3 linked regions of the Rhinolophus ferrumequinum genome follow. The protein of the gene in region 1 interacts with the protein of each later gene in a pairwise test. Links are inferred from orthologs where the notes say so. Each region holds a gene or a part of one and is shown in the gene's direction. Other genes may lie near its edges.

Region 1 (10,433 bases):
CTCTGGCAGCAAGTCACTTCCTCCCCTGGACGCCCAGCTGCTCTCTGTGCATAGAGTCTCCCATATTGTGCTACAATTATTTTACTTTTTACATGCTTGCTGCCCGCATTAAACTGCACACTCCTTGTGCCTGGGATTAGTTTGCTTTCTTTGTTTCCCCAGAGCCTGAACTGGTGATCAGCGAATGGCAAGCATTCAATAATACTTGATGCATGTGTGAGAATCAGTCTTCATCTGACACCACCTACATACTAGCAGGTGAGCCTTTATCTGTCCTTCTTCTGTAATATCTCTTTTTAACGAAAACACTAGAAAGAGACTAAAGCAAAAAAGTCAGATTTTCCATATTTGGGGCTAAATCTCTCTTATAAAAAGAAACAAGATATTTTCACAAACCAGCAAGGAAAATTCCAGAAGAAAAGCCAGGCAAATCAGCAGAGTTTCCAATCTGTCACCACTTTAATCCATCTTGTAAATCATTTCCAGTTTAATTTTAAAGGACAAAACACCACTGTCTTCATGTCTTTTTCTTTTTAAGAACTTAATGAGTGGCTCCCATTGTCTATCTAATCAAATCCAAGTTTCCCAGCATGGTTTGGAAGACCTTCCACAGTCTGGCTGCATTTCATCTATACAATCACAGTCCAACGCAATTGTCAGGGTTACCTTCCTGAAACACAGATAAGATTATTCACTCTCATACTCAAAAAATACTTTAAGGCTCTTCCTAACCTCAGATAAATTCCAAATTCCTCACATAAGCTTTCTACTATTTGGCTCCGGTCTTTCTTTTCTAGTATAGCCTCCCTGATAGTATTCAATCTTCAGCTAACTTCCCAAGTTGTCTTTCTTAAATACTTCTTATACTTCCTGTTTTTATGTCTCTACAGTGTCAAATTGTTCATGAACCACATGCAATACTGTCTTCCATATGTGTTGTGTAAGTCAGCAGACCCAATACAAAAGACATACAATCTGTCAAGCTTCCTGCCTGTTTTCTACACTCATTGAGAATCAATCTCTGAGCACACTCTGACGGGGGCCTCATTATCTTCCCATGTTCCTTGCAGCTTCTCCTAATACTCTATCTTTCCATTATAGTTATTTACGTAAGTATTATATCATGTCTATCAGCAGACACACATGTTTTAAAACACCCTCCCTAGATGCCATATCTTTCATTGTATTTCACTGCTTCCCTTTCTTGTAAATTCCTCAAAAGATCTGTTTGCATATGTTGTTTCACTTCCTTCTTCCCGTCTTTTGAGCTCTCTCCAAACAGACTTTTTCATCCGCTACTGACTGAAACTGCTCTTCTCCAGGTCATCAATCACCTTCACATTTTCAAAGCTGACAGGCAAAACTCAGTTGTCATCTTGAACTAACAGCATCATTTGACATAGTCCATTGCTCCGTGATGCTTGGACCACTCTCCTCCTTTGGTGCCTGAAACACCAATTTCTCTTGCTCCTCCTCTTCTCTCCTCCACCTACTGGCCACTCCTCCAGTCCAGCTTCCTTGCTTGATCTGAACTGTCCTAACCTCCGCAAGCTGAAGTGCCTAAGATTTAGCCCTGCTCATCTCTTCCCAACACACTCATTCTCTGATCTCATTTAGTCCCATGGGTCTAAATTTCTTCAACATATTGACAAGATCTAATTTCTTTCTCCAGCTCTTACCTTTCTCTTCAATTCCAGACTCATATGTACCACTGCCTAATCAATATCTCCACTTAGATATCCAACAGGCATACCAACCATAATAGGTCCAAAACTAAACTTTGGTTTCTCGCCTCTCTAAAACATGTATCTATCACACCCTTCCTTGTCTTAGGAAATCGTCTCTCAGTTCTTTTAGACCTTTGACCCTTCTGTCATCTAATCATTAGCAAATTTTGCTAGCTCTGCATTCAAAATACATTTAGAATTTCACTTCTGTTCACAACTCTTTCACTGCTACTACTCTGTTCTAAGCCCCCATCATCTCTTCCTTGAATTATTTCAATAGGCTATTCATCAACTGGTCTCTTTGTTAATGCTTGTCTCCTTTCCCTCAATCCCTCAAAGTGATCTTTTTTAAAGCATAACTCTGATTTTGTGACTTCTCTGCTCAAAACCCTCCAATAGCGTCCCACCTCATTCAGAATACAACCCAAGTCCTTACCGTGGCCTACAAAGCATTACATCATCTGGCCCGCCACGCCCTCTGAACTCATCTTCTAGACCACACTTCCTCTTGCTAATCAGCTCTTGAATTTCTAGACTCCTTGCTTTTCCTCAAGGATATCAAGCATCAAGCACACTTTTGCTTCAGCACTTTTATACTTAATGTTCCTTCACCTGGAATTTTCCTCCTCTAGTGAGCCACAGGCTCCCTCACTTGCTTCATGTCTCTTTTCAAATTCTGCCTTATCAGACAGGCCTTCCCTGACCACTTTATATAAATCAGCAACCTTTCCCGATCATTCTCTTTTACCTTGCATATTTTTCTGCATAGCACTTATTACCAACTAAAAAAGTATATATTTTTATGTTTTTATTTGTCTCCTTCCACCTGAATATAAGCTTCTATAGAGAAGGTGGTTTGTTTTCTTTACCACTGAATTCCCAGAACCTAGAACAGAGCCTAGCACATTGTCGGTATTCAATTTATATTGAACAAATGAATGGATAATTGTCACCTATTAGACAAAAAGCTTCTGTGGCCAGTAACTAGCTCTGATTATATATTCCCATTAACACCTAGCTTAGTACTTTTCATATGATAAAAGTTTAAAATGTTTGCCAAATTAAATTGCATCTTATTTCTCTCTGCTTCTTAATGATGCTCTCTGTTCCTTTTTGGCAAGTTTCCATACTGCTACCTGCTTCTTTCCTTCATCTATCAAAGCTCACTTTTGCTGGAAGCCTCAGTTCTTGCTATTTCTCTAACTTCCTCTTTTCCTATATTCTATTATAACTTTAGTGTCTGGGCTTCCGGAAGCTTCAGATTATTATTTCTCAGCTGTTAGAGATTACAAGGACTATTCCCCACAATTTAGCAGCCTATACTATTATGTATTCTCTGCTTCATGGGAATTCTGCCTTGCCTTCCCCACAATACTATAAATGGTATAATGGCCAGACCATATCATACTCCCAAATCTTTGAAAATATCTTTTGTAAGGTTACATGCATGGTAAGTGATTAACTGATCCAAAATAGTGTCTCCACTTGCATTCTAGATATCACCTCTTACATATCTAACAGAGATCTTATTCTGTCTCAAATAGAATTCTTAATTTTAGCACCCATACATATTCCTTTGCCATTCTCCCCCACAATCCCCATATTCTAGTCACCAGTAGGTATCCAATTTCTAAGTCCAAAATCTAGGAATCATTTTTTTAAATTGAGCTTTTATTCTGAGATTATGGATTCACATGCAGGTGTAAGAAACAATACAGGGCTATTCTGTGTACCTTTCACCTAGTTTCCCCCAGTGGTAACATCTTGCAAAATCAGAGTACTGTCTCGCAGTTTCTTGAGCAATTAAACATAGAGTTACTATATAACCCAGCAATTCCACCTCTGGGTATATACCCAAGATAATGGAAAACATATGTCCACATAAAAATGTGTACACGAATGTTTATAGCAGCATTATTCATAGCAGCCAAAACATAGAAACAACTCAAATGCTCATCAACGGATGAATAGGTAAACAATATGTGGTATATTCGTGAAATGGAATACTATTTGGTCATAAAAAGGAATTAAATACTTGTTCTTCTACAACTTGGATGAACCTTGAAAACGGTAAGTGAAAAAGTCAGACAAAAGACCACATATTATATAATTCCATTCACATGAAAGTTATGAATAGGGAAATCTACAAGACAGAAAGACTAGTGGTTACTTAGAGTTGGGGGAGAGTAAGCAAGAGGAAGAGAAGGACAAGTCAGAGAGGTAATGGGTCCAGATGATCTAGGGCTTTTTATGACATTTTATGACTTATCTTTTACTCTGAGTGAGATAACAAGGCTTGGAGGTTTTTGAGCATAAATTGACTTTTAAAAGTCACTCTGGCTGCTGTATGGAGAATAAATTACAGGAAGAAAAGAGGGGAAGCAAGGTGATCAGTAAAGAGGCTATTCCAAAAATCAAAGCAAGAGATAAAGATGGTTGAATTAGGGATTAACTTTGGAGGTGGTTTAAACTGCTTGGATATGGATATGCTTTGAAGGTTAGAACCTAAGAATTTGTTGGTGAATTCAAAATAGAGTGTAAGAAAAAGTCAAGGATGACTCCCAGGTTTGGGGTCTGAGCAACTGGACGGATGGAGTTGGCATTCACTGAGCTGGAGAAGAGTGTCAAAGTTGCAGCTTTTGATGAACTACATGGGGGAGTATGGTTTTAGACATGATAACATGGAGGTGTTGGGTAGGCAGTTGAATATATGTGAGTCTGCGGTTAACTACTAGTCTGGTTAGGGTTATACTTTGGGAGTTGTCAATGCGTAGATTTCATTTAAAGCCCTTAGGTTGAACAATATCACTTAGGGCAATGGCCTAGACAGAGAAGAGGTAAAAGACCCCAAGGCACTACACAATGAAGAGACCTGAAAGATGAGACATAATTAGCAAAGGAGACGTCAGAGCACTTAGGATAAAATCCACATTTCTTATCTTAATCATGACCTGGCCCTTCTCAAAGTCTTGAACCTCACTCTTCAGTAACACAGGATACTCACAAGGTATTCTGTTTTTGAAACACACCAAGTCCTTTCCTGTGTCATGGCCTTTGTTTTTGCTGTGGGTTCCACCAGGTATGTTTTCACCCAGACTAATTTTGGTCACCTCCATCTCTTACTACAACTCTCAGCTAAACTGTTACCCTGAGTCCTCTCTAACCACCCTAATTCCCATCTGAGTTTTCTCTAGCTAACCTAATTTAAAAGATCCAACCCGACCACCTCCACTGCGTTGGGGCTCTTACTATACTTTGAAATTATTGAGGCAATCTACATGATTACAAATGCTTCCCCATTCTCTTCCCCCCCAAAAGATATCCTGGCCCAAAATTAATCCTTTCTTTTCTTTTGTTAATACCTCCCTTGCTCCAAAGTTATTCCTATAAAAACCTTTCATTTTGTACAACTCCTGGGAGCACCCTTCTAGTTGCTAGATGGGATGCTGCCGGATTTATGAATCACTTAATAAACTCAATTAGATCTTAAAAAAAAAAGCACAACCTGACCACCCCCACAGAATCATTACGTTATGGCTGTTACTATAATCTGAAATTATTTTACTTGTTTTCTGTCTGAAACAATTTAACCAACGGTTTACAAAATGATTACTATGACAAATAAAAGCTCCTATTCCTCCTTGCATGTCACTTCCTGGAGAGCAGGGGCCTCTTGAGCTTGTCCTCTGCCGCATCCCAATGCAATCGACATTGCCTCAGCAATCAATTCTGAGTTTTCAGTTTTAAGAACGGAACGGATCGCAGTACACCGACAAACTTGAAAGAAAAAGAAAATGTGCCCAACGCTCCGCCCAGTCCCGGAATAGCCCAGAGCCCAGGAGGGCCTGCGCCCGGGACCTTGTTCTCCCAGCGCCACGGCCTGAACCCCGCCCCTTCCCCGGGGCGAGTTTAACCACTGCGCATGCGCGCTGGGGGACCTGTCTGTTCCTCTGTCGGCGCTATCAATAAAGTTTTAGTGAGGAGAGACTCTCCTTTTCCTTGACAAGATGGCGGAGTACGACTTGACTACCCGCATCGCGCACTTTTTGGATCGGCATTTGGTCTTTCCGTTGCTTGAGTTTCTCTCCGTAAAGGAGGTGAGCGGGGCTTGGAGGGTGAGGAAGTCGTGGGAGCGCGTGCGACGCGGGGCGAGGCCGAGAGGCAGTGGCGGGAGCCCTAGGCCTGACACACGTGTGAGGCGGCCGCCGGTTTGGTCCTGTGTCGGAGTGGACTGGTACCGCGGCATCGGGCGGTGAGCTGGAGAGAGGTAGCACTGTGACCCCCAGGGGAGAACGAGGGGTTAGCCTCGGTCCTCGAGGTGCCAGTGTCCAAGGGACTTCCGCGTCGGGTCCTTTCGGAAGTGGACGACTCGCTGCCGACTTCACTGTGATAACGCCCGAGCTTTCCTTCAGGCCGACTTCTAAAAACAAATGGGAGGGTTAGAGATTTTGGTGTGTGTGTTTTTTTTTTTTCAGGAACTGTGGCAAGGGTGTGCTGGGCTTGCCGGATCGTTTGGAATGGTACTCTTACACTTAAATGAAATATCTAGCACTTTGGTTGCCAGAAAGTTGTGAGTTCTTTGCATGGAGTAGTCCTGGTCTTTCCATAAGTAGCTACTTCCTACAGGCGTAGCATATTTTGTCGGGGGAGGAAGGGGACCCCCACTCTACGAAACAAAAAGCAAAATAACCCGGCAAGATTTTACCCTACAAGTTGTTTTCCAGTTATTGATAGATAGATTTCGTGTGATTTGAATTGGTCGGTAACATTCATTTAACTATTCAAGAGTTCTAGAATATCTTGAATAGCTATGTGGTTCTGGTACCTCGTTTTAAAAAAATTCATGAGTCCTAAAAGTTTTAAAATGTTGAACTTAGTTATACTTTGTGTTTATTGGGAAATTGATGCATTTTAATAATTATAATAAAGCAGTATTACTGTGATGAAGGGATTAGAATATTGGCCAGAAAAATAAATGAATTCTACTTCTGGAAGCAGATTACAACATAGGTCTACTTAAGGAACGTTAGATTTGGAGAATAGCTTTTATGTGTCCCAACAACAATAGAACAAAAAAGCCCAACAAATATTAAATTGTTCTGATAACTTTTCAAGGGTTCCTGGTATTTATGGTTTATTACATAAATTCGTATATCTTTTTCTAAACATATAGATAACTTTCAAGTTGTTGATGTTAGGGAACAACACATTTCATTTTCAATAAATGTTCAAGTGTAGCCTATCTTGAAAGGATATGTTTTTGCCTTGGTTTTTCTTCACCTGGGATATACTTAACGCCTGTATTTTAGAGCTTGAATATAATAATCTAGTCTGCCTTCTGTTTTTGTTTTTTTTCCTGGATAAGTAAGGATAATTCACCACAAATCAGGGAATAGAGCAATACCACATTTTGAAATCCTTTACCAGCTACTTCTAGAAATGCTTCTAAACTAACCAAACTTCATATTTTTTTAATGTGTTCCTTACACTTTCATTTTTCAAGACAGATGAAAGGGAGCAATGTGTAAGTGTAAATTAGTATTTCATAGGGCAAGACCAAAACTACGATTGGTAGCTGAGAATCAATGGAAGATACTGCGCCCAGTACCCTCTTCCGTGGAGAGAATATTGGTAAGATGTTCGTAGGAAGACAGACACATGCTGGCATATTTAGTGATTACTAAGTAGAGGGCTGCCATGGAAGTATGATAAATCCAACGTAAAGCCCAGACAGCTCACCGCTAAAAATCACCTATACTTTAGAGGAGATAAAGGTATAAATTATAAGGCAAAAATTAGGAAATGTCAGAGAACTACTGGAAGAGTATGCTATCAACACTGAGGCTTTATTTATAACACTTTTTTTATTTATTTATTTTTATTTTATTTATAACATAACAACACTTTTATTTATAAAAGTGGGCAGAAGGACTTTTGAGGAAGAGAGGCTTTGAGTTGTGATGGTTATATGGTTGGGAGAGTCAGCGATTGTGATACACGACGGCAACAATTTGGCATATTTGTAGTGTGTTGGAAAATATAAGCTCCACGAGAGCAAGTTTTTTGTTTTATACTTTGCTGTGTTCTCAGCACAGGAAGTAGAGTCTGGCATAAAGGATTTTAATGATTACGTAATAAATGAGTAAATGAATACATATTTGTATCTGCTCTTCTTTATTCTCAGGTGAAGTATACGACCAGGCAGTGTTTAGCAGCCTGGGCGCTGGATTTCTGCTTGGATTAGGATCCTGGCTCTGTCATTTGTGTAACACCTCTGTGCACTTAAGAGCAGTTTCTTTCTCATCTTAACTAAGCCTTTTCTCATGCATAAAATGTTGGTACTACCACGAATCTCATGGAGTTAGAAGAATTACATGAGAGAATGCATGTAAAGCACTTAGCCTACTGGGACAGAGTAAATACTCCTGAATGTTTCCTATCGGGAGGCTAGGCCATCCTGTCTGAGAGGGGAGTGAGACAACCAACTGGGGGTTTAAGGAGTGACTGAGGAAACCAACCAAAGACAAGTAACAAGGATTGGTAAGTTTGGAGGGCCCAGCTGAGACTGGAAATTATGCATTTATAGAGAATGATGGTTATTCTCAGAGTGAGAGGAGCAGTGGAGGATTTTTGAAGTAGTGGATATTTGGAGGTAGACTTGTAAATATCATTTAGAAATGAAATGGATTGCTGATCAACAGAGAAAAGCACAAATGTGATTGAATATATATTGCCTAGTTTTGAAACATTTTATAGTCATTCTTCACCAAAACAAAGAATTAGATGACTTTTTTCCCCAGAGCTAGAGATTGACATTGAATTGTGCTTGGTTGGAGAAAATGGATGGAATCCAATGATACAGCTAAAGAGAGAATATTTGAAATAGTTAGAAATGATAGCTAAACTTATATAGAAAGTTACAGCCAAAAAAGGTGATATAAAAATTAGGAAAAGCAGAGGGCCTGGTGAGATGGTGAAGCATGTTGATGGTAATGCTGAAAGAGGTGATGAGTTCAAGTTGGAAGTCTTACAGATGAGATACTAGATGGAAAGTTGTAATTTGCGGGATAAAGGAATTTTACGGCTTGAGTTTTTTTTTGGAGAATCATCAGTATGGATGTAAGATTTGTGGGAGATAGCAGGAAGAGATGTCAGAATATTTTTCATTTGTTAAAGATAGCTGTTTTCAAGGGTTTATAGACCAGGGATGGGGAAACGAGCCTGTGAACTGAATGCAGCCTTTTCTACCTGTTTTGTATGATCTGTAAACTAAAAGTAAGTTTTAACAAATGAACGTTCACAAACATTTTCAGTACAGAACACTGTAATGTTATACCCCAATTGAGTGAAATAGTTTCTGCCCCAAAAAGAATTACATTCTTCTCTTTAATAGATCTACATTACAAAAAAATTTACTCCATTATTATTATTTCAAAAAGGAAAAGAAATTGTGGAAATTTGTTTCTTATAGTACTTAAGCATAGTATTCTTGGTTTTTGCTTCTTGGCTCACAAATTCTAAAATATTTACTATCTGCCCTTTACAGAACAAGTGTGTCTATGAGGCAAATTTTAGAGAAGGTGATATAAGTAGATGTAGACTTTTGAAGAGGCCAGTAAGGTCTGATGGCAGAGGAGTAGTGCTTTGAACCTACAGTTGGAGAGACAATACAAAGTAAAAGCTGTTAATGGGGTATCAAGGAGAGGTGGCATATTACTATGAAAAGGGTGTTTTCATCTAGGGTTTCTGCAGGGCAGATTGAAAGGGAGCTTCAGTTTTTTTAAGTAAACTTTTTTATCGTGCGTAACACTCATACAAAAAAAGAAATGCACAAATATAAGTGCTTTTTTCCCCAAAGTGAACACACTGATGTGACCACCATCCAGATCAGTAAGTAAAACATTAACAAACATCCTAAAAACCTTCCTTCTGACCCTTCTTAATCATTACTCACACCTGATCTGATCTGATGCTAGAATGTTTTGCCTGTGTTTGATTTTATATAAATAGAATTAAGCATTCACCACCCTGTACTTGCTTTGTATGATTTCTTTCATTCAACATTGTGAAAGATCATCCAAGTTGTTAGGAGTTTGTTGATTTTCAGTGCTGCTTGTTAACACATATTGTGAGAATATCACAGTTTATCCATTCTAACTTTGATAGACTCGGCTATTACAAACAGCGCTGCTATGAACATTATTGGAGATGTCCTTTGAATATATGCACCCATTTCTCTTGGGTACCTAGGAGCAGAATTGCCTGGTCAAAATCTATGTTTAACTTTAGGAGATAAAGTTACTCTGGCATTGTCAGTTTTTTTAGTTTTTAGTGTGGTTTTAATTTGCATTTCCTTTATGATTAATAAAGTTGAGAACGTTTTCCGGTCTTGGTCATTTGGTTAAACTGTTCTGAAGTGCCTGTTAAAGTTTTAGTCATTTTCAATTGGATTGTCTCACACTATTTTGTAGGAGTTGTTTATGTAGTTTGGAAGATTCAGTTTTGATCTAATGACTGTACACCATCTGACCATTTTCAGGTTTTCTTTTAATGGACAGTGAAAGGTTGTGGAATTTTCCGGCATATTTTTTCCCTTGGTGAAATTAAATTTAGTACAAAACCCTTTTCTGTTGCTGAAGCCTTTCGTTGATGACTATTTGATTACATTTTAAAATTTCGATTGCTCTCTCTCAATACTATTGTATA
Region 2 (11,139 bases), on another chromosome or scaffold:
TCAAATAGCAGACAGATATTCAACAATGCAACACAGACCTCCAGGCCAAAAAGTAACAGTTACTATTTCAAAGTATCTGTAGATTGCTTATGGAGAGAGTCGACTGAGGTCTTTGCAAGAGACAGTCCCATCACCGTCAGTGACTCCACTGAGCCCAACGAGGCGACACCCTCCAAGAAACACAATTCTTGCTATGATCGGGTGTGCTCTGCCCTGGAATCCAGGGGCCACGGCTATGCCCCTGACAACTGACAAAATGTTTATCTCGCTCACCAGAAATACATGGCACACATAGAAAAGGAAAAAAACAAAACAAAACAGTGTCTTCTGTATCCCAAATGATAAACTGTTCATTTCTTAAGAGATGGGAAAGATGCTAGAGTTCCACTGTTAATTATTAACATGCTCGTGAGACGTACAGAAATGTGAAGCTGGTTCTGAGTTTGGTCTTTTTGTCAGAGTTTATCCAGAAATGAAATCTTGAGAGAATTTCTAGAAATCGTATGTAAATGGCTCCATCAGCTGGAGGTTAGAGGGTCATTTTAAAATCGTGTGGAAAAAAGAAGCAGCATAACTCGCCCCCTTGTTTCAGATGAGAGAGGCTAGAGACCATTTGGACTGGAAGTAGTGCTACAGAAATTGGTTGAAATTGTGAACACAAAGAGCTATTTGACTTTACATGATTGTGTGGCTATAAGTAAACACAGCCTTAATCTCTCTTTACATTTTACAATCCTGACAACTGTGTAAACCCAGTCTGTAGATGGAAGGTCTAAAGGTGCAAACTAATGTAACAAAAATGCCCAGATGTACCCCCAGTTTCACAAGAGGAAGGACATGAAATGAGAGGCCACAAACTGGACTGGGACAGAACTACCTACCACTATCATAGGGCTACTGAACACACAGAGTCAGTCTTCGTGAAAATGTAGTTGTGACAATTGCATGCGAGGGTTTCTGTATAACGGAACACAGTATTTTTTAAACTATTTCCTGGGCTGCAAAAGAACACATTTAATAAGAATCCATAATCTTCTCATGTCTTTTTGAAATACCTATTTGTGCTGGGTGTAAGGAAGAATTACAGAAAAGGCATTACAGATTTGGTCCAAACACCTGTTCATTTCTATCATTGTATTAACAAAAGTGTGTGCTATTCAGTCAATTGTACGGAAGCATAAATTATTTCCTAATTCCCTGCAGTAAATCTTAATAGAAAGAAAGCTTTCTCAACATGCCATCTATGGTAAACTGCTGACATTTGCCTTACTCTCTCGTTCCTCCTTTTTCCTGTGTAAAATGCAGATAGATGACCAAATACTCGGGGACAAACTGAAATATGCCTGTCTTTGTGCTAAAATATTCCATAAATCTTAAGGGTGTCCAAAGGTTCTTTAATGTCCCTGTTTGTAAACCCTTTCTTACTTCTACACACAGTATGTATGCTTCTTTAACTGTCACCCTTTCCAATTGAGGACTCTTCGGAGACTTTTCTAGTCTTCTCTGTTTCAAAGCAGAAGCTGTGAAATGTATTAAATCTTTTTTAAAAACCACTTTATCTATGTAAAAGAAAATACCACATCCCGAAAGGGGAGAGTGATTTTCTCCCTTCCATATCCTCCACCTGGCATGTCCTTGGATAACTTTCCAAAGCGTGTCAGTAGTGGTGGTTTGGTTTGGTTTGATTTCAAAGTGGCAGCAGTGACTACAAAAGGCAGAATAATGAACAAGGAACTGACTCACTTTCGGTCCAGCTCTGCCATGAACTCATCAGGTATCTGTCAGCAGATCTTTAATCTCCCCACTATATTATTGTTTATGTGAACTGCGAAATAAAGATCATGGTAGTGTCTGCTATAGCCCCTCTAGGGATATTGGGGAGCAATATAAGAAAAAAATGCAGTGACATCTTAACTGTTGACACTGGAGAAACAACGTAATCTAACCCATAGGGAATCCAAGTCAATTGTATTTCACTTTGGAAAGAGATATGATTCAGATAAAACACCCAACTCCATGGTGAAAGACTTTTCCAGTATGTTCCTCCTCGTCTGGCTACCAGCCAGGGAGGTGGTAGCCGGGCTAAGGCCCAGCGCAGGTACAGATCGCCTGCAGTGGATTGTCTGAGTCAATGCTTTTTTTAGCTCTTTGGAGGCAACACATCTTATTCCTGTCATTATCAGTTGGACCTCCATGGCACATATTTCTAAATTAAATTGTCTCGATGGAGTAAACGTCGTGTGTGAATGTTCTGTGTAACAGCCAATAGAGTTTAACAAGTGACTTGAATGATTTTTCCTAACTTGTTTGCAACTGATAGCTCATATTGAATGTTTTTATGTAAACTTTGTATTGTTGGGAAGAATTACCCAATCAGAGATTTATATTTTCATAAATGTTACCTTTAGTTAAATTTTGTTACAGAGTTGTTACACTAGAAAATTATTGCAGTCTTCAAACAATATACAGTCTTGTGTATGTTTTGTTTGTATGAATAAAAGATAAACTATGTAGATATGTGGTGTTTCTTTTTCTCCCCCAACTTAGATATAGAGATCCGTAGTAGTAGTAATAGTAGTAGTAGTAGAAGTAGTAATAGTTCATGCCTACTGAGTGTTTATTGTACACCAGGTACTATTTTCAGAGCTTCATATATACTAAGCCGTGTAATCTTCACAACAGCTTTATGAGGTAGGTGCTGTTAGTATTCCAAATTTACATATGAAGAAACCTAGAAACACAGGTCCAGGGAGAATAGCGGAACAGCATTTCAATGTACCATCAATGTCTTTTTTGTCAGCTTTCTCAAAGCTCATACAAATATAGTATTGCGTATCCAGTAGGCACTTACTGATAATGACCTATATAAGATGTTTTCTTACTTGTAGACGAGAAACCAGGGTAGGTTCTGAAGATCACTGGAGGTCTTTGCAAACTCTCAGGATTTTCAGGTGCACTGCAACAGTTGATGTACTATTCATTAAGCAAATATTTACTGGGGCCTACATTTTGCCAAGAATACAAAGGTTAATAAAATAGCTCCTGCCTTCTAGGATTTCCAAGCCTTAACAGGAAAACAGATAGGAAACAGTTCTATGTGTAAGTTCAAGGACAGTGTGCCTTCCTCTGGGGCTGGGGGTGGAGGTGGGAAGGACAACCAAGGAGTCATCCTACTCATAGATTCTCTACAGAATCTCTACAGAATCACTCATAGATGCCACGGGGAATTTTCCCATGTGTACTTTTTCTGTTTCTTGCCTCTTTGGGTCTGAGAAACTACTCCCACCCCTCGCCCCCCCCCACACACACACACACAATTGTTTAAAACGGCAGTAATGAGAGCTTAAGTGATGATAACAAGGAAATAATCAGGTGAAACCTTGTACCTAGTTTCACGAAACAACTATTCTCCGAGAGACAAAATCAAAGTGTCAAGAAAACAATTAGAATAGCCATTGTGTTTATTGCCTCCATCTTCATGTGACCTCAAGACTGACTTTAATTTAAAATTTACTCCCATTGAAAAGGATTCCATTACCCATGCGGGGGAATTCCTTTGGACTCATTGAAGGTTAAAGCCTCTTCTCTCTTGTTTCTCGAGAAAATGTAGAGAAGCTGTCCATCAATATTTGCATAAAAGCATTTCATATACATGGAATTTGTTGTTTAACTAAATCTCTTCTATCTCAGGGTCAAAAACACAACAAATACTGCACACTTCTTATGTGCAAGGCATTATACTGTGCCCTACGGTGACTTGAAAATTAGTCACATACAATTCCTGCCAGAACCTTACAATCTAAAGGAAACACAACTAAATCAGCTGTAAGACAGAATGTGATACAAAGTTATTAATAAAAGTGAATACACTGCAGAGGGGCAATTAACTCTGGTAATCAAAAAGGGTGTCCAAGAGGAGGTGACAGATAGCTGAGGCTTGAAGCATAAGTAGGATTTAGCTCTCAGAATGCCAGAAAAGACATTTCAGGTGAAGGAAGCTGTATGAGCCAAAACAGGGAGAGTCGAAGCATATTTTGGATGAGTTCAAATGCTATGTTGGGATTTTAGACTTTATTCTGTAGTCAACAGAATCGTGAAAAATATTTTGAGGAGGAGAATGGTCAGATTGGAATGGTATTTTAGAATGACTCAGGCAGTACTCTGTCAGATGGATTAGAGACAGAAGAGACCAGAAGCTGGGGGACCAGTAAAGAGCCTATTGCAATGATCTGAGATAGAAAATGTAAGAACTTGATCTTTGTGTAGTGGCAGTGAGAATGCTAAGAGGGGGAGCAATTCAAGAGTGACTTCAGGACCTAACTGACAGAGGTGGGTGATGAAGGAGAGGGAAAACAAATAATTTCAGTTTTCAGTTGAAACTGGGTGGATAGCAGAGGTGCAAATGTAAAACGAATAGGTCAGGAGATGAAAGTTGGGGAAATAATAAAGTTGGACCTAGAGAGTGCAAAAGGTAAGACCTCTATGCAGGCAGTTGTAAATATGCTATCCATCCAATGGAGGAATCTGAAATAAAGAATCCAGCTGAGATAAAGAATCTCTTTCTCGAAAGTCTAAAATGCCTCATGGGGGATTTGATTCAAGATGGTGGAATAGGTAAACGCTCCCTATGCCTACCGCATCCCAGGATGACACCACAGTGACACATAAATTTATAGAACAACCACCCTCAAGATTCATCTGAACACTAGCTGAACAGAACCACTATAACTAAGGATATAAAGAAGAGGCCACATCAAGACTAGTATGAGGGATGGAGCTACGAAATGGGCTGACCCTAAAATGCCTCATATGGTGCTTTTTTGGGATATAAGCCAATAGCATACACTTTTTAAATTTGTCTTTTTTTTAGAACTATATTGACAAACTTAGAACTATATTAACAAATTATTCAAATTAGCTTTCCTGGCTTCCATGACTCATCAGTTGGAAACAATTTATATGCCAATGAAAACATGAACGCACCTTGAAAACTGAGTATATTATGTTTTCATTCCTGCATGCATCAAGAAACCATAGATTTTTCTTCTGTATTTTTCACAAGGACCCCACAAATCTCCATTTAGCACTCCATGTGATCTGCAGGAAGTACAGATTACACTTTGCATAGACACATCAGAGTGTTGGGTTTCAGTGTATCAATATGGCAAGTTATATAACACTGGTAATTTGAGATTACCAATAACACCACCACCTCTGGCTTTATAGAATCCCAGCCTTTACTAGACGAGGGTAGCTTAAACAGCCGCTTGAGCATCCTAAGCAGTGGTTTGCAAACTGGACTGTGCATCACTTGTTAAAACGCAGATTTCTTCACTCTCCCTATCCCCCACTATTTCTGAATTGATATGTCTGGGGTGGGGCCCGAGAACTTTCATTTTTACTAAATTCCCCCCAGATGGTGCTGATGATGCTGCTAGTTTGGTAACCACACTTTAAAACCCAAGATAAATACCAAAGTATATTTGGTCAGAATAACCTGACAAATGTGCCAATATCCTGTGGACATTACTAAAGTGTCAGCTTGCAGTGGTGACAAACAGTTCAATCAGAAAATGATTTAAAACCGCATGTAACTTCCCTCATAAATCTATCATATTAAAACAGACAGCTACTACTACGCGAATGAGGAGATTCAGAAAATGAGTTTTACTCCATAAAGGCACGTGTCTTGTAAATGGCGCTGAAGTCACTAAAGTGGACGCATTAAAAACTAAGGGCCGTATGTCTGTCTTCAAATAGTATTCTGTGCCGTTGCTTCTCCAGCATCCTGTTTCATCCTGATTCTCCCTGGATGATTTGGAGGGGAAAAACACAAGAGTTAGGTAAGCTAGGTGGCGCAGTTGCTTAATACATTTTCCTGTCAAGCCCATAGTTTACTTCGCAGCGCAGGTGAAAAGAATGTCCCATGCTTAAGTAGTATTTTAGGGTAAAGAAACAGTTCTCCACCCACCTTAGGTGCGTGGATTGCAACAAGTACGGGCGTAGAGATCAGCAGATTGGACGAAGTGTTGCAGCCGAGGTTCCTACACCCCAGGAAAAGAGGGGGACGGTGCGGGGCGGGGAAGCGTGATTTCGTTGAACTCCCACTGTGGTCTTGAGGGTGCAAGCAGCAAGTTTGTGCAGCTTCCCTGGGAATTATCATGGTAGCGTCTGCGCTGATTCTCAGATCATCTGTCTCAAAGGCAGGCTATCGTCACACACCAGGTCTAAGCAGGTAGTGCAGAGGAAACAAAAACACAAGTGCGCGGCGGTGAGGGGTACAAATCTATGTACCACGGATGCATTTATTTATCTTCTTACTTCCGTCCTGAGCCCTAGGAAGCTCCCCTCTCCCGACAGCACGACAGAAAAGTAGGCACTAAAAAGTTTCCCAGCACCGGCAGGCCGCTGGCATGCTACCTGGGTGTGGGTGCTCAGAGGCCGAGCTCCTGGATTTTCTGCTTCCGTGAGCACGAAGGCCAGCCCCAGCTGCGGGGGTTCGGCAGTAGGGTGCCAAGGGCTGGCGTGCGCCCTGCCTGCAGCCTGGGGACCGCCAGGGGAGGCGCGCGGTGTGGGGCGCGCTGGTAAAGGGTTACACGTGCCGGGAGGCTCGCCCCGGGCCGGGCCACGTGACGCGCGGGCCCAATGACCGAGCCGGGGCGGCCGCAGCGAGCGCAGCGGGCTCCGGGCGGCGCTGAGCCGCTGGTGTTTCCCGGCGCGGCTGCCCGAGGCCGGCGAAGCCATGGGCACCGCGACCCCGCCGCCGCCGCCGCCGCCGCCCCGCCCCAGGTAGGGACCGTCTCTCGTCCTGCGCGTCGCGCGCTGCGGTGGGGAAGTCAAGGACTCGGACTTTTGCGAATTTGGCCGTGGGGCATTATTTCCCCTGCTCTCACGGGTCACTTTTCTTTCTTTATTTCCTTTTGCCCTTGGGGGGGAAATGGGGTGAGGTGATTGTCAGTTTGATTACTTCGGAAGAGGCACGTAATTCAACAAAGGCCAGGAGTGCAAAGTCTTGAATGAGGGGCGGGAGGGGGACTTTTACAAATTCCCCAAACTAAAGATCAAGACGGTTTGTAAAGCTTGGCATCTAATGGGTGTATGAAACGCTTTTGTTTTTAAATCCCTAATTAATGAACTTTCAACAGTGCCGGAGAACTTGAATTGGAAAAACTGCAAGCGATTTTCCCACACGTATTTCAAAGTTCCCCCTTCCCCCATTTGTAAGCATTTGAGGTGTTTTGTGTTTGTTTTTTTTTAATAAAACGGAAATGGAGTGTGACCGCTGCTGTTTCTTTGAAATGTCCTTGGGTCCCAGAACTTGCCCCCTTGAGGTGCTGGCGCTCTGGTGGGGAGAAGAGGGTGCCGCGCTAGGAGGCAGCACGTGTTGAAAGAGGGGGCCAGGTGCAAACGCTTAAATGGTCCCAAACTGTTTGCTGAATATTTAATATTTAGGCAAGCACCTCCAGGTCGATTACTTGGGTCTCATTGCCCTTGGCCGCTCTGATGAGGTGAGATTTTCACAAACCACCACTGAAGAATGTTTCCAATGATGTAAGACAGAAATCATTGTTTTGGGTTTTTTCTCCAGCACTGTAATTAAACTTTAAAAAAAAAAAAAACTCCCTTTAGTAACAGTACATTTTATGTTACATTGTGGTATAGATGTTTGCCTTGGGAATTTAGAGGAAGTCCGAGTTCCTTGAGGTGGTTGAAATCAAAAGAATAGGGTGTTTATTTTCTTCCTGTCGCTAATAGAATTACTGATGGCACTTTCCACATGGCTTATGAGTGTCCTGGGTGGTTGTAACCAAGCTATTGTGAGGAGTAATGGCTGGTGAAAAGATGAGAAACATTGGAGGGCTGAATGAGGAAAGAAAAAAAAAGTGGTTGTTGCTGCTTTTAAAGACAATAGATTCTATTTTGCTACTTATTCCCACATTTAATGCTCCAGCCAATGCTATTTTAAGGAGGAGACAGATGTTAAAGCCTTTTAAGGCTAACCACCGGCGCCTAAAGAACACCTTAACAGTCATGAGACAGATCATTGAAACAGTCATTTGAAGCTCTAAGGGTAAAGTTCTGGGGTTATTATTTGTATTGCTCTGAAGTGTGAAGAGGCAGCCAGAGGAAGCTGTCTTGCTGACAGAGGAGAAATGGAGCCGACACTAACGGAGGAAGACACGTTTGTCTTACTTTGTTCAGTCTAAGTTTGTTCAGTCTATCCTGATCCTGCTTTATTCAGCAAGTTTGTAACAAGTGCCTGTCTTAGGGCACCTAGCTCCTGGGCCTGGTCCTCAATGGTTCTAAAGATTTAGGTATCTATCTAATGACATGGAAAGATAATTGTGATCAGTGTACTAAAAGCTTTCGCATATCTGGAATTTAAAACAGAAACTTGTATATCAACTAAATATGTTCACTAACCTAAAAAAAAAAAATGGAAGGATTCCACTTAGTACCTTTCTGAGCCTGGAAACACCACCTGGCTAAGCTCTGGCGGGAAACCAGCCCCAGCCCAAGGCAGGGCAGATACTGCCCTCCTGGCTTCTAGAACTCCCCTGCTCTGGGTGCCCCAAGAGCCCACTGACTGGAATGGACTCTAGTTTCCAAATAATTGAATGCCAGCCTCCCAGTGGTTGGATTTCCTCCACTTGGAATGTTTCGAACTCCCCTAGTTCCACAATTTTTCCAGTAACCCTGAACGTTGGGCTCTTTGGGGATCTTGGTTAAATAGTACCTTGCTCCTGCCATTTTTTTCCTCCTTTTATGGTCTTTAGATTGATTATCGGGTTGCAGATAAACTTTCGAGGTATCTAGAAAAGAGTTGACAGGTTATCATAAAGGAGAGCACACATGAACCTTCACCCATCTGCAGGTCAGGTGGGTCGCCCAGTTGTAGCCTTTCGTAGTCTGGTTACCACCTGAATGCTATTTAAGAGGATAAAATGAAAATGAAATATTTTATCTGTTTGCACCCTTTTCACCTGAGTATATTAATATTCCCATCAGATGAATATGTGTCCTCACGCAGATACTTAAAAGAATTTAAAATACTGACTCAGGGGAGGCAAGCATCTTAGAAAAGACGCCCCTGAGCTGCGGTGAATATTATTAACATAAGACAAAAGGAATATCATGTCTCAAATTTCACTATGAGTAGTGACCACTTCTGTTCAGAGTACAAGTAGCTCTCTCAACTTAAATGAAACCTTCATCTGGCCTTGGAGATGGCATGTGTGTAGAGGCAGGGACACCGGACACTCAGCGAGATGCTGGGGACACAGTCCTTGCCTTCAGGGATCTTACAGTCTTCAGAGAGGCCATGGAGGATTTTGAGTAGAGCCAGGTCTCTATTTTAGGAAGTTCACTCTGGCTGCAATGAGAAGAATGAAACAGGGAAGATACAAGCAAGGCAACTGCTGTAAACATCCATGAGAGGAAAGAGAGAAGTGAATTGATTCAAAAGATATTTAGAGGGGCAAGGGTATTTAAGCTGTTAACTCAGAATATATTAGGCATTTCAAGTCTCTAAAGTTAATTTACATGCCATTTTGAAATACACTTGTTCCAGGTAGATAACCATAGGCCATGTCCCATTGCAATGCTTTCCTTACTGACTGAAGTTACTATAGGGCCCCGCAGAGTTTGTTTCCATCACAGAAAAAAGTTTTTGATAAAGAATGAGCTTCAAATATAGTTCACACTTTCAACAACCCAGTGCTTCTTTATGTATGGAGACTTAAATACATACATCTGAAGGCCAAGTTAAGATAAACTGTTCTCATATTGTATACACATTCTCTGATTTAGCTTAACGCCCTATAGGAATAAAAACACCTGACTCGATGGTGTAACAGTAGTGGATGTGGGCAGTAAAACAGCCTTTTTTTTTTTTTAAGTTGTCCACAGTATGGCCTGCTGTATGTCACAGAGATGACTGTACAGGCAGACCCCGTTTTATTGCACTTCACAGATGTTGCGTTTTTAACAAATTGAAGGCAAGACCCTCCATCAACAAAAAGATGACAACTCGGTTTGTTGTAGTGGCCTGGAACAAAACCCGCGATAGGCACACCTGTATTATATTTGCAGGAGTGCAGTGTTAGAGTATGTGCTAGTGGTATGTGAGAGGCGCTGCTTGCCTGTGATAGAAGAAAAGTCACCTTAGTTATTGACTCACTGCCACATACATAGCTTTTATGTAACATGTATTTGGATAGATTAATTCACTTGTTTGTTAGTCTCAGAGTCAATCTCTACACATGCGAGTTCTGAAATTGTTTTTAATTTTCGTGTTAAGTCTACCCCCCGCCCCCGCATTTGATAATTGAGTACATATCTTGGGTCATTTATGTATGATAAAGGCAGATTAGATTCATACTTGATGGCTGTAAAACAGTATCCCTTTTATTTGGTGATCAAACTATACAGCCTCATTCCTCCAGAATATTTATTGCAACCTAGAAATGAATAAAAGAAGTCCACTTGCATTTGCAAATACTGTGTTTCCCCGAAAATAAGACCTAGGCAAACAATCAGCTCCAATGCATCTTTTGCATCTTATAGTAAAATAATACCGGGTCTTATATTAATTTTTGCTGCGAAAGATGCATTCAAGCTGATTGTCTGGCTAGGACTTATTTTCGAAGAAACACAGTAGTTGTTAAGAGCCACATATTTAGATTCTCACTAGAATTTATATGGCGTTATTTATTTTTTGATTCTTAATGAGCTTGGCTATCTGGGTTCCTGGTCCACGGAAGAAGGCCCGCCTTATAGGTTCAGTGTATGACTATTGTAAGTGTGAAATGTAGCCACAACCAACGGCTCAATAGTGAAGGCAACACAGGCAGCTTGTCTGTGAATAAATCTTAAGTCTACAAGAAAAGAAAAACTGGGTTCAGAACTATCTGTTAGCAAGGAAGTAAGTATTGCGTTTTAGAAAAATGCACCGTCAATCATTTTTAGAGCTAGAAAAGAACCTTAGAAGTCATTTGGTCTAACTAACCACCTTAATTTAGAGATGAGGAAACTGAGGCTCAGAAAGGTTAAATGATGTGTCCAAGGTCATCAGGCCGCCCACTGGAAAAGCTACTGTGGCCAGGATCTAAGAGTCCCAATTCCCAGTTCAGGTATCTT
Region 3 (10,981 bases), on another chromosome or scaffold:
AAAAATATTATGCTGAATGAAAAAAGCCAGAGCCAAAGAGTATTTATTATATGATTCCATTTATATATAATTCTAGAATAGGCAAAACTAATCTGTTTCTACAAATCAGATCACTGGTTGCTTCTGTGGTGGTGGTGGGGATTCTGTGGTGGCAGAGGCATAGAAGAACTTCCAGGGGGTGATGAAAATGTCTTGGAGTGTGGGATACGTATCTATCGAATGGCGTGCTTAAATTCTAAACATTTTGCTGTATGTAAATTATATCTCAATAAAGAAGAACCACACTGAGGTACCACCACACACTCACTGGACTGGCTAAAATTAAAAAGAATAAAAATACTGAATGTTGGGGGCCGGCACGTGGCTCAGGCGGTTGGAGCTCCATGCTCCTAACGCCGAAGGCTGCCGGTTGGATTTCCACATGGGCCAGTGGGCTCTCAACCACAAGGTTGCTGGTTCAACTCCTCGACTCCTGCAAGGGATGGTGGGCTCTGCCCCCTGCAACTAACAACAGCAACTGGACCTAGAGTTGAACTGCACCCTCCACAACTACGATTGAAAGGACAACAACTTGACTTGGAAAAAATCCTGGAAATACACACTGTTCCCCAATAAAGTCCTGTTCCCCTTCCCCAATAAAATCTAAAAAAAAAAAAAAGAAAATACTGAATGTTGGCAAGTATGTGAAGCAACTGGACCTCTGGTACATTGATAGTGGGGATATAAAACAGTACAACCACTTTGGAAGTTTGGAAGTTTCTTATAAAGTTAAACACATACTTCTCATATGATCCAACAATTCCACTTCTAAGTATTTATTCAAGAGAAATAAAAACCTTGATTACACAAAAATTTATACAATACCATTTAGAGCAACTGTAGTCATAATAGTAAAAAGAATAGAAAAAAACCCTAATGTCCATCAACAAGTGAATGGACAAGTAAACTGTGGTATAGCCATACAATGAAATACATAGCAATAATGAGTAATGAATTAACAATACTTGCAACAACAAGAATGAATTTCCAAGATGCTATGCTGAGTGAAAGAAGCCAGATACAAAATAGTATAGCCTATATGATTCCATTTATATAAAATTCTTGGAAAGACTAGTCTACAGTGACAGAAAGTAGATATATGGTTGTCTGGGGTCAGAGGTGGGGCTGAGGATTGACTAGGGAGAGGCACAAAGAAACTTTTTGGTGATGGCAATATTCCCTATCTTAATTGTGGGTGGATACATTTGTCAAAACTCATTGACCTGTACGATTAATATGGGTGCATTTATTGTATGTATATTATACTTCAATAATGTTGATTTTTTTTAGTGGAGAAATCAATTGACAAAATCAAAATAAAACCATAGGAATGAAAAATGAAATAGACTACCTGAATCGTCTACAACTATAAAAGAAATCGAATCAGTAGTCAAAGACATTCCCACAAAGCAAGCTCCATGACCAGATGGCTTCATCATTAAATTTAATCACATATCAAGGAGCAAATACTTCCAAACATTCACAAATTATTTCAGGGTATAGGAAAAGAGAGGATACTTCTTAATTCATTTAACAATATAATTTTAATACCAAAACCTGGCATGGATAGTACAAGGGAAGAAAATAACAGGTCAATCTCACTCATGAACATAAATTTTAAAATTCTAAATCAGTAAAACTAAACCCAGTAATATATAAAAAAGAAAATACATCATGACACATTGGGTTACCCCAGAAATGGAGTTTGATAACATTAGAAAAATCAATTCATACAATCCTCCCATGAACATGAATAAAGAAAAAAAAATCATATATTCATCTCAAAAACAGAAAAAACATTTGATGAACTTTATCATCCATTAATGATTAACACTGAGCAAACTAAGAATAGAAAAGAACTTCTATAACCTGATAAGGGATATCTATTAAAAAAAACAAAAACCTCTAGCAAACATCACATTTAATATTGAAATCTTTTTTTCTGAGGTCAGAAACAGGAAAAAGCTGCTTGTTATTTGGTGAGGAAGAAACAAACCTGTTATTTGCAAGTGACCTAATTGTGTAACAAGAAAATAAAAAAGGAGCTACAGACAAATTATTTCAATTTATAGAAATGTTTAATAAATTAGCAAAATCAGCTTAAAAATTAATTGCTTGACAAACAGCCAAATTAAAAAATGGTCAAAGGACTTGAATGGACATTTCTCCACAGGAGATGTACAAATTGCCAATAAACACATGAAAAAATGCTCAATATCATTAGTCATAAGGGAGATGCAAATCAAAACCACAAGAAGATAACACTTTGTACGTACTAGGATGGCTATTACAAAAAATGGAAAAAGCAAGCGTTGTTGAGGCTGTGGAGAAATTGGAACGCTTTTACATTACTGGTGGGAATGTAAAATGGTTTAGCCATTGTAGAAACAGTTTGGCTGTTCCTCAAAAAGTTAAACATAGAATTACCATATGACACAGCAATTCAAAAGAATTGAAAACACAGACTCAAACCAATACTTGTATACAAATGTTCACACAGTATGATGAAAACGTTTTGGAAATAGATAGTGGTGATGGTTGTACAACATTGTGAATGTAATTATTGTCACTGAACTGTACATTTAAAAATGGCAAATTTTGTTATATAAATTTTAACACAATAAGAAATCAATTGCTTATCTATAGAAGCAATGATTAGAAAATAAATTTTTAACAAGGTACCTTTTAAAATAGCACAAAACATGAATAAACTAGGATAAATCTAACAAAATATGTATAAGACTTCTTTGGAGAAAGTGATAACATTTTTTGACAAATTTTAAAGACAAGCTAAATCAAAAGAGAGCTATACTGTATCCAAACATTGGACGATTCAGGATTATAAAGATGTCAGTTCTATCCAAATCAAGCTATAGATTCAATGCAATCATAATTCCAATACAAATTTCTACTAAGGTTAGTTTGTTTTTGTTGTGCTTGTCAAATTAACTCTAAAATTATTATGGAAACACAAGGGGCCAAGAAAAACAAGACACTCTTGAAGAGGAATAAGATGGGAGGAACTGCTCTACCAGTCATCAAGACTTATAAAGTTTTAATAATTAAGACATTATGCTTTGGTGCCAGAATAGACCAAAAGACCACAGGAGCAGAGCTGACAAACAGACCCATACCTGATTTGAAAGAGAGGTCACTGAAAAACAGTGGAGACAGTACTTTTTAAAAAGTAATAAATGGTGCTGGATCAAAATTAAATTGGACCCCCACCTCACACCATACACAAAATTTACTCTAGGTGAATTGTAGACTTTAAAGTAAAATAACACTATAAAACTCTTGTAAGGTAATATAAGAAAATACACCATAACCTCAAGATAGGGAAGATTTCTTAAACAAGAGACAAAAAACAAATTACTTGTTTTTTTGTAGCTGAACTAGGAGAGGTATTGGTGTCACCAAGAGATGGGTACTGTTACTGAAGAGACTTTGCACTTCCACTTTTGGAGGCTGCCAGCACATCTTTACGGGAAGGACAATTGCATCTTGTTAGGCAAAGTCATGAGATTGTTACTGTTCAAACATGCATAGAAAGATGTGTGTAAATGCTGAGCAGAAAAAGGGGTTGACTGTGTCAGTTATTTACTTCTGGCCTTCCTGCTCCAAATCCATTCTTCGTGTCTCTGCTCTCTGATGCTGGGTGGGGTTGGGACTCTGCAAACTTGTTTCCCTGTTAGAGAAACAAGAAAGTCACTCCGTTATTAACTGGCTTTCTGTTAGGTTCTCGTAGTACTAGGAGGCACTGGAGTGAGATGGAAGGCAAAGGGAGAAGAGACTACCGTCCACTTTTTTGGTTTTGTTTGGTCACTCTATCATTGGAAAGTGGCTCCAGCCATCAGCTTCTTTCCGCATTCCAGGAACCAGCTTTGTAGATGGCTGCTCTGAGGAGTGAGCAGCAGCCCCGGCCGCTCCACCTGCATCTGAGCCTCAACTCTGCACGTCCCCCTCTGGGCTCTTAGGGTGTAGTAATCCCACCTCTTCCCTGTGTTCCCTCAGCGCTTGCTGTTTCCTTTACTTACTAGTTCCAAGTTGTCTCAATGTTCTTTTTCTTTTTGCTCTTTTCGTTTTCCAACACCTGTGTAACCTGTATTAAGTCCTACATTTGAAATACATACTGTGGCTTCTGTTTATCTGATTAGGCCTATCTGATATCCTCAATGGTAGAAGAGATAACTTGTGGCATAGACATACTACACAGGAATTAGTATGCAAGGAAAATGAATCCCCCTAACATACTACTGAAAGAAGCAAATCGCAACCGAATTCACACAGTATGACTCTATTTCTACAAAGTTTAGACACTGGCAACATTAAACTATATATTTGCTTGATGGACACACAGGTGATGAAACTATAAAGAAAAGCAAGGAAATGGTTATCACAAAAGTCAGGATAGTGGTTATCTCTTGGAGGCATGGATGAAGATGAGATCTAGGAGAAGCATAGGGAGGTCCTGGGGCATTCATAGTGTTCTATTTCTTTTTTTTTTAAATCTTTTATTTTAATTTTTTTTTTTAATTGGGGAAGGGGAACAGGACTTCATTGGGGAACAGTGTGTACTTCCAGGACTTTTTTCCAAGTCAAGTTGTTGTCCTTTCAGTCTTAGTTGTGGAGGGTGCAGCTCAGCTCCAGATCCAGTTGCTGTTGCTAGTTGCAGGGAGCACAGCCCCCCAGCCCTTGTGGGAGTCGAACCGGCAACCTTGTGGTTGAGAAGATGCACTCCAACCAACTGAGCCATCCGGGAGGCAGCTCAGCTCAAGGTGCTGTGTTCAATCTTAGTTGCAGGGTGCGGAGCCCACCATCCTTTGCGGGAATCAAGGAATTGAACTGGCAACCTTGTGGTTGAGAGCCCACTGGCCCATGTGGGAATCGAACCGGCAGCCTTCGGAGTTAGGAGCATGGAGCTCTAACTGCCACCAGGCAGGCCCCATAGTGTTCTATTTCTTGATCATTGAGGTGATGACACAGGCGTTTGCTTTGACCATATTCTTTAAATTGAACATTTGTGTTTTATGTGCTCTTTTGTGCATAAGATGCATTTTGCAAATGAAAAACAAAAGAACATCATGATTGCCACTGGCGATGGGTCTGGAGGCAAGAGGATGCTAAGAAGGGCTTCTAGAGGCGAGGCAAGAGGCAAAAGAGGGAGTGAAAAGACCAAGGTCCCAGAGGTCCCAGAAGCCAAGAATTGAGGCTGAGGCTGAGAGAGCTTGAGATCTGAGCCAGGAGTCAGGACCTTCTCCCCAGCCCCCAGGGAGTCAGACCAGGGTTGGAAACTTCTTTAGGTCTTTTATCTCCTCCCCCTCTGTTTGTGCTGACAGAGGGTCCCTGCCTGCTGGTCATATCCAGATGTGGGAGCACATCTGAATCAATGTGGAGATACTGACCATCCACTAGCAGAGCAGAGTAAATCTCGTAGGTAGGTGGAATTGGTGAATAGATATGAGCTGAGCCCTGGGATGCACATTCCTGAGGCCAGACAGAGAAATGGGTAGAGCCTCTTTAATCAACACAGAAAGGCTTTCTGTGGAAGCTGAGTGAAAGAGAACAGGTTGGACTGGGGAATGGAGCAGGGATGTGAGAGAGGAACTGGGAGGCAAAGGGCAGCAGGGAAGCCAGACTGTGCCTCCAGTTTCCCCACCTTCGGGTAAAAGATACAACCAGCTTTGCGGGTGCCCTCTTGGCCGTGCATAGAGGGTTGATGGCACCACGCAGCAATGCAAGGGGTTAACAGGAAAGCCAGCTGCCCCAGGGGTGGTGTGAGGGGGTAGGACTCCGAGGGGAAGCAGTGGGGACCATCTCTAATGCTAGGAACCTCCACCGAGCCCGGCCCTCAGCTGCCAGTCTGCTCTCCACTCACTGTCTTGAGTGGTTCCAGGTGCTGGGTTCCTATTGCTGATTCGGGATTCCCATCCCTCACCTTAGGAGCGGTTGACTCCACCGGCTGGTGTAGCCAAGTCGAGCCCGGGGGGCAGACAGATACGCAGTGTCTCTGACTGCTCCTTTGCCTCCTGGGTCAGCAGCATAGGGCCACCTGCGCTCTCTGGACGAAGACCTGCCCTGGCCTTGAGGAGAATGCCTATACTGAATGGGGGGGTGGGGGGGAGGGAGGGGGCGGGGCTGGGATGAGGATACTGGAGGTGAAGACCTCCATTCCCCCTAGGCATCAGGGGGAGAAATCTGAGATGAACACCATCGATCATAGTCAGAAACAGGGGAGTAGAGGCGTCGGAGCTCAGACGTGAAGCAAGGGGTCCTGGGCTCAGAGTGTGGGGGTGGAGGACAGGCCAGATGCTCCCTCTTACTCCTTCTAATCGCTGCCTCTTTCAGGGACCCCCTCCGCCCTCCCTTGGGCCCTGGCCCTCTCCCCTCCCCCTGAAATCCTGCACCCTCTGCGGATTGGTCCCCGGCCTGCCGAGGGGCGGGGCCCGAAGGCCCTGACGTCACTGGCCGAGGGGGGCAGGCGGCTCGGGGAGGGGGGTGACGGGCCCCGGCTCAGCACCTCGGAGAGCTCCCTCCCCGGCCTTGTTTTGCTCCGGTGTCGCCGCCGCCGGGGGAGGGAACCAGGGGGCTGGGCACGCGACTCAGCAGCAGGGCAATGGCGGTAAAGGGGTCGCGGGGCCCCGGCGGGCAGAGGGCCCAGCCGTGATCCGGCGAGGGGGGCCAGGGCGCCGGGCGGGGTGGGGGGCAGCTGGCGGCGGCAGCAGCGGCCGCATATCTGGATGGAAGCAAGCTTTGTCCAGACCACCATGGCTCTGGGGCTGTCCTCCAAGAAAGCATCTTCCCGCAATGTGTCCGTGGAGCGTAGGAACCTGATCACCGTGTGCAGGTGGGCATCGCTGTAGGGTGGGGGTGGGGTGACCGGAGAGAGGTGTGGGGCGGGCTGCGGAAAACTGGATGAGCGTGCAAAGCAACCTGGGAGAAAAGGGAGGCACAGGCTTAACAGGAGCGTCCACTGTCCCTCTCAGGCCAAGACCAGGGAGGGGTTTGGAGGTCTGGTCCCTACCCTGCTAGGCCAAGCAAGGCCTATGCCCAGCCTGGGGCCTGGAGGGTGAGGGGTGTTTAACTGGCACTGCAGCTTCCTGTGAGAACCAGGAAGTGACATTGTGCGTGAGGGGGAGGGTTGGGGATGGCTGGCTCCCTCGCAGGCGGCGGGTCGGCAGTGGGAAGAGAAGAACTGATGGGGTAGGGGGATGACCACCCTCCAAGCATACCCTCACTCCTACCCAACAGCCTGGCCTATCTGAGGTGGGGCTTTCCTGGGAGATTTTCCCATCATGCTGCTCAATTCCTGGAGAGGGATGGTGTCCTTCTTTTCTGGGAAGCTGCAACCTGTAGCAGAGTCAACGGGGCATGTGGGCAAAGACTGAATCCATCCACTGAAGGGTGAAGGGCACTGCCCCTGCTGTGGGAAGGACTGAGGGGCCGGCTGAAGAAGCCTGGGACTCTTGGGTTCAAGGGGAGAAGATTGGGAGGGCAGGGCTGTCTCAGGGTTAGGAAGATTCCCACCCCTCCTCTTCTTAGGGCCCAGGAAGTGAACCTTCCCACTTCAGCCCTCAGAGTCTCACCCTCTCTGCCCTGCCCTGAAGCCAGGAATGGCCAATTGCTCAGCTTCTCTCCCTCAGGCCCCACCTACATTCATCCCTCCCTCTAAAATTCCCATGTCAGCTGCCTTCTCCACCTGGAACCTCCCCATGCCCCGTGCCACCTCTGAGGGCACAGAGCTGTCTTCTCTTGCCAGTCCCACCTGCCTGCACCTAGGCCTTGGCCCTGCTCCTTGCCCCAGGAATCAGTGCCCACCTGATGCCCTGGCTCCTGTGTCCTATAACTCCTCCCAGGTTCCTGGGCACACATCCGACCATGCTGCATCTGTCTCCCATCACGATATGCCTAGTGCCCATCACAGTGCTGTGCACACCAGACCTCCGTAAAAATGCCTGAAATGTTATAGAAGGGATGAATGCAAAGTGCAGGCCACGATCGCCACCTTTACGGTCCTAACCCTGCCAGTGTTGTGTAAAAGCTAGATGGGCCTTGGGTCGAGCTCTTACTTCATCAGTTACTAGTGTGTATCATTGGTGAAATCTCCTAACCACTCAGGCCTTGGGTGCCTTATCATCCCCATTATATATGTCACAGCCACACCAATGAAGGGTAGTGACATAATCCACGTAGGAGCCTAGCCCAGTGCCTGGCACACGGAAATAGCCCTGTCCTGATGACATCTTCCCTGTCCCTCTTCTCCCTCTTGACCGCCTAGGTTCCTCTTCTTTCTCTTGCCTGCCAGGACAACTGGGCTTCTTGAGTGTGTGGAGATGAGGGGCACTCCCCTTGGTCCAGACTGCAGAAGCAGAGGTTCTGGTAGATAGGAAGTGGGCGTAGAGCTGTGGTATGAGGGATAGAGTTTTAGGGGGCATCAGGGGCTTAATAAAGGCTCAGAAACCCCTCGGGCCCCTGCCACCTCATCACTGTCACATGGTTTGCCTCCAGCTCCCAGAACAGTTCCCTTTAGCAGGCTGAGAGCTCCCCTGGGCCCTGGTCTCCCTGTCTCCATGGTAACTGCGGCAGCCACTGCACCTCTTAACAGGGAACACACCATGGGGCTCCTGGGGGAGATGACCAGCTCTGCAGCACCCCCGAGGACAGATGGCAGATGGCTGCCATGCTGACACCAGCCCCATTCACCCACTGTGGTCTGACCCAGATGACCAGAAGAAATCATCAGGGTGTGGAAGGCTACATAATGCATCCCAGATATGCCCTAAACATAGGCTCCTTCTGGCAGGGCCAACCTTCCCGTTAATGACCCAACTCCTCACAACCCCTGCCCGTCCACATCCACCTTCTCCCAATCCTGCCTGGGATCTGAATCAAAATGTAATGAGGCAGGTACTTCCCTTCCTGTTTGGGACAATGGGCCTCTGAGGGATTATATGACTTGTCCAAGGCCACAGGGGTATCACAAGGAAACAGGACTTGTGTCCACCAGGCTGCCTCCCCCTAGGTGCCACCCCAGCATTGACTTGGCTCTGATCTCAAGCCAGACCAACTTGAAGCCCAAAGGGAAGAGAGGGAGGCCCATGGACTCAACTGGGCCATTGGCCTGAGAGCCACGGAGGCCAGTGCCCCAGGGCTGGAGCCTGCAGAGAGGAGGACAGAGGGCAGAGGGGGCAGGGGCTGCTCGGATCCTTAGTAATTGTGACAGCCATCAGGAGGCCATAAGATATAGCAGAAAGAGCAAGGGCTTTGGAATCAGACATACCTACTTGACCTCTCACAAGCTGTGTGACTCTGAACAGATCAGTCAACCACTTGGACTCTCAGTTACCTTATCTGTGAAATGGGGACGATGGTGATAATAAGAGGAACTACCTCCCAGGGCTGTTGTAGGGATGGATGAGATAACACACGAAAAGTATAGCGCTTGGCACATGAAAGGGCTTAATAAGCTTAGGGGGAAAAGGACCATTCTAAGCAGGCCCTGTATCTGCTCTGCCACCCACAACAGGCCAATAATGGCATGTTGGGAGACGTGCCCTTAGCCCTGCCCCATCCCACTGTAGCCATGGTGGGTGGAGATTGTAGGGGTAGGGAGTGCAGGGGAAGTGGGGACTTCAAGCAGGATTGGAGAGAGGGATGGGGGCTGCTGGGCTGCAGTCCCTCAGCCCCACTGGCTTCCCTCGGCTGCATTCCTCTCTGAGAAGCCAGGTATCAGGGCCCCCAAGGCCCCTTCCAGAGATCTGTGTCCAATGCCCACTCCTACTCAGTGTGTGTGTCAGACCCACACCCTGCACTTCCCTGGGCAGCACTGCACCACCAGATTCCGGACAGCTGGTGTGTGGGCAGCCGAGCTGGGAAGGAAAAGGGGTAAGCGGGGGCCTCCGTGTGCTGAGAGCCCACCTGGCCACCATGCGTGCCCACGCCCCATGTGCTCAGAGCCAACTCACAGGCTCTGGCACAGGTGAACCCCCCTCCAGAAAGGACTGAAGGTTTTTCTAGCAAGAGCAGAAGAGAGCTCAGAGAAAGGGCACAAAGTGGCTTCTAACTCCTAGCTGAACCGCAATCCACACACATACAGAATGCAACTCCAAAGGGTGGGCAAAGACGAGGGGGCTGTGGACGGTCCCCAGGCTCTAGGTGCCTCGACTTTCTACCTATTGTTTCATCCCCTCTCAAACCTTGTTCCCAAAGCTTCCTTTCTCTGACTGTCACCTCTCCTGTCACCCACTTTGTCAATCAGTCTCCCACCTGCCACCCTATCACTCCCATGTCACAGCAACTCTATGGTCACTATATTCTTACCTGTCTCCCGCCCTCTTTCCTTCTGCCATCCCACTACATCCATAATCTTCATGACCTCTTCTCTGCCCTTCACTCCCTCTCTTCGCCTGATGCCCCTCCCCTACCACCATCAGCCTGTCTTCTCACCTGACACCCCACTGCCCCTTCTCCCTACCCCACACCCAGGTTCTCTGTGAAAACACTGCTGGAGAAGTACACGGCAGAGCCCATCGATGACTCATCTGAGGAGTTTGTGAACTTTGCAGCCATCTTAGAGCAGATCCTCAGTCACCGTTTCAAAGGTGGGCCCAGGTTCCTGTCCCCCAGGACCCAGCTCTGCCAACTCCCAGTCTTTAGCTTCCAGCCACCCTGTTCTGATCTACTCTGTGACTTCTTGAACCCCATCACTGACCATGCCCCCAATTCTGGGCCATGTGCAGAAGCTCATTCACAGAGCTGGGGAGATGGAAGGGGGTCTTCTGGGCATGCATTTATATGCTGGTATACCCTTTGTGTACATGCATGTGTGTGCACATACGTTTGGGGTAGGCATTATGTGTGTGCATGGCTACTTATACTTATGCACGTGTGTGCCCCATTACATGGGCCCTCTCTAAACTCCTTAGTCTTGCTGAGCCCCCTC

The links. The genes of interacting proteins can lie anywhere in the genome.
Region 2: the proteins of EIF3E (region 1) and C5H4orf19 interact in binary tests that used the Homo sapiens proteins (3 or more experiments, as listed by UniProt). The two-hybrid records come from large-scale screens. The link is inferred for Rhinolophus ferrumequinum from reciprocal best matches to the Homo sapiens genes EIF3E and PGCKA1.
Region 3: the proteins of EIF3E (region 1) and RUNDC3A interact in binary tests that used the Homo sapiens proteins (3 or more experiments, as listed by UniProt). The two-hybrid records come from large-scale screens. The link is inferred for Rhinolophus ferrumequinum from reciprocal best matches to the Homo sapiens genes EIF3E and RUNDC3A.

What each region holds. Positions count from the first base shown.
Region 1 is NC_046297.1:48,867,097-48,877,529, reverse strand, and holds the start of EIF3E (eukaryotic translation initiation factor 3 subunit E), read left to right. Parts: upstream 1-5,633; 5' UTR 5,634-5,734; coding exon 5,735-5,824; intron 5,825-10,433. UniProt on the Homo sapiens protein: Component of the eukaryotic translation initiation factor 3 (eIF-3) complex, which is required for several steps in the initiation of protein synthesis.
Region 2 is NC_046288.1:62,265,952-62,277,090, reverse strand, and holds the start of C5H4orf19 (uncharacterized protein C4orf19 homolog), read left to right. Parts: upstream 1-6,682; 5' UTR 6,683-6,789; intron 6,790-11,139. Other genes in the region: NWD2 (NACHT and WD repeat domain-containing protein 2), read left to right, coding at 1-252. UniProt on the Homo sapiens protein: Acts as a tumor suppressor. Acts as a tumor suppressor for colorectal cancer cell proliferation by targeting KEAP1/USP17/ELK1/CDK6 axis.
Region 3 is NC_046304.1:39,360,265-39,371,245, forward strand, and holds the start of RUNDC3A (RUN domain-containing protein 3A), read left to right. Parts: upstream 1-6,524; 5' UTR 6,525-6,779; coding exon 6,780-6,886; intron 6,887-10,524; coding exon 10,525-10,640; intron 10,641-10,964; exon of another isoform or gene 10,965-10,981. UniProt on the Homo sapiens protein: May act as an effector of RAP2A in neuronal cells.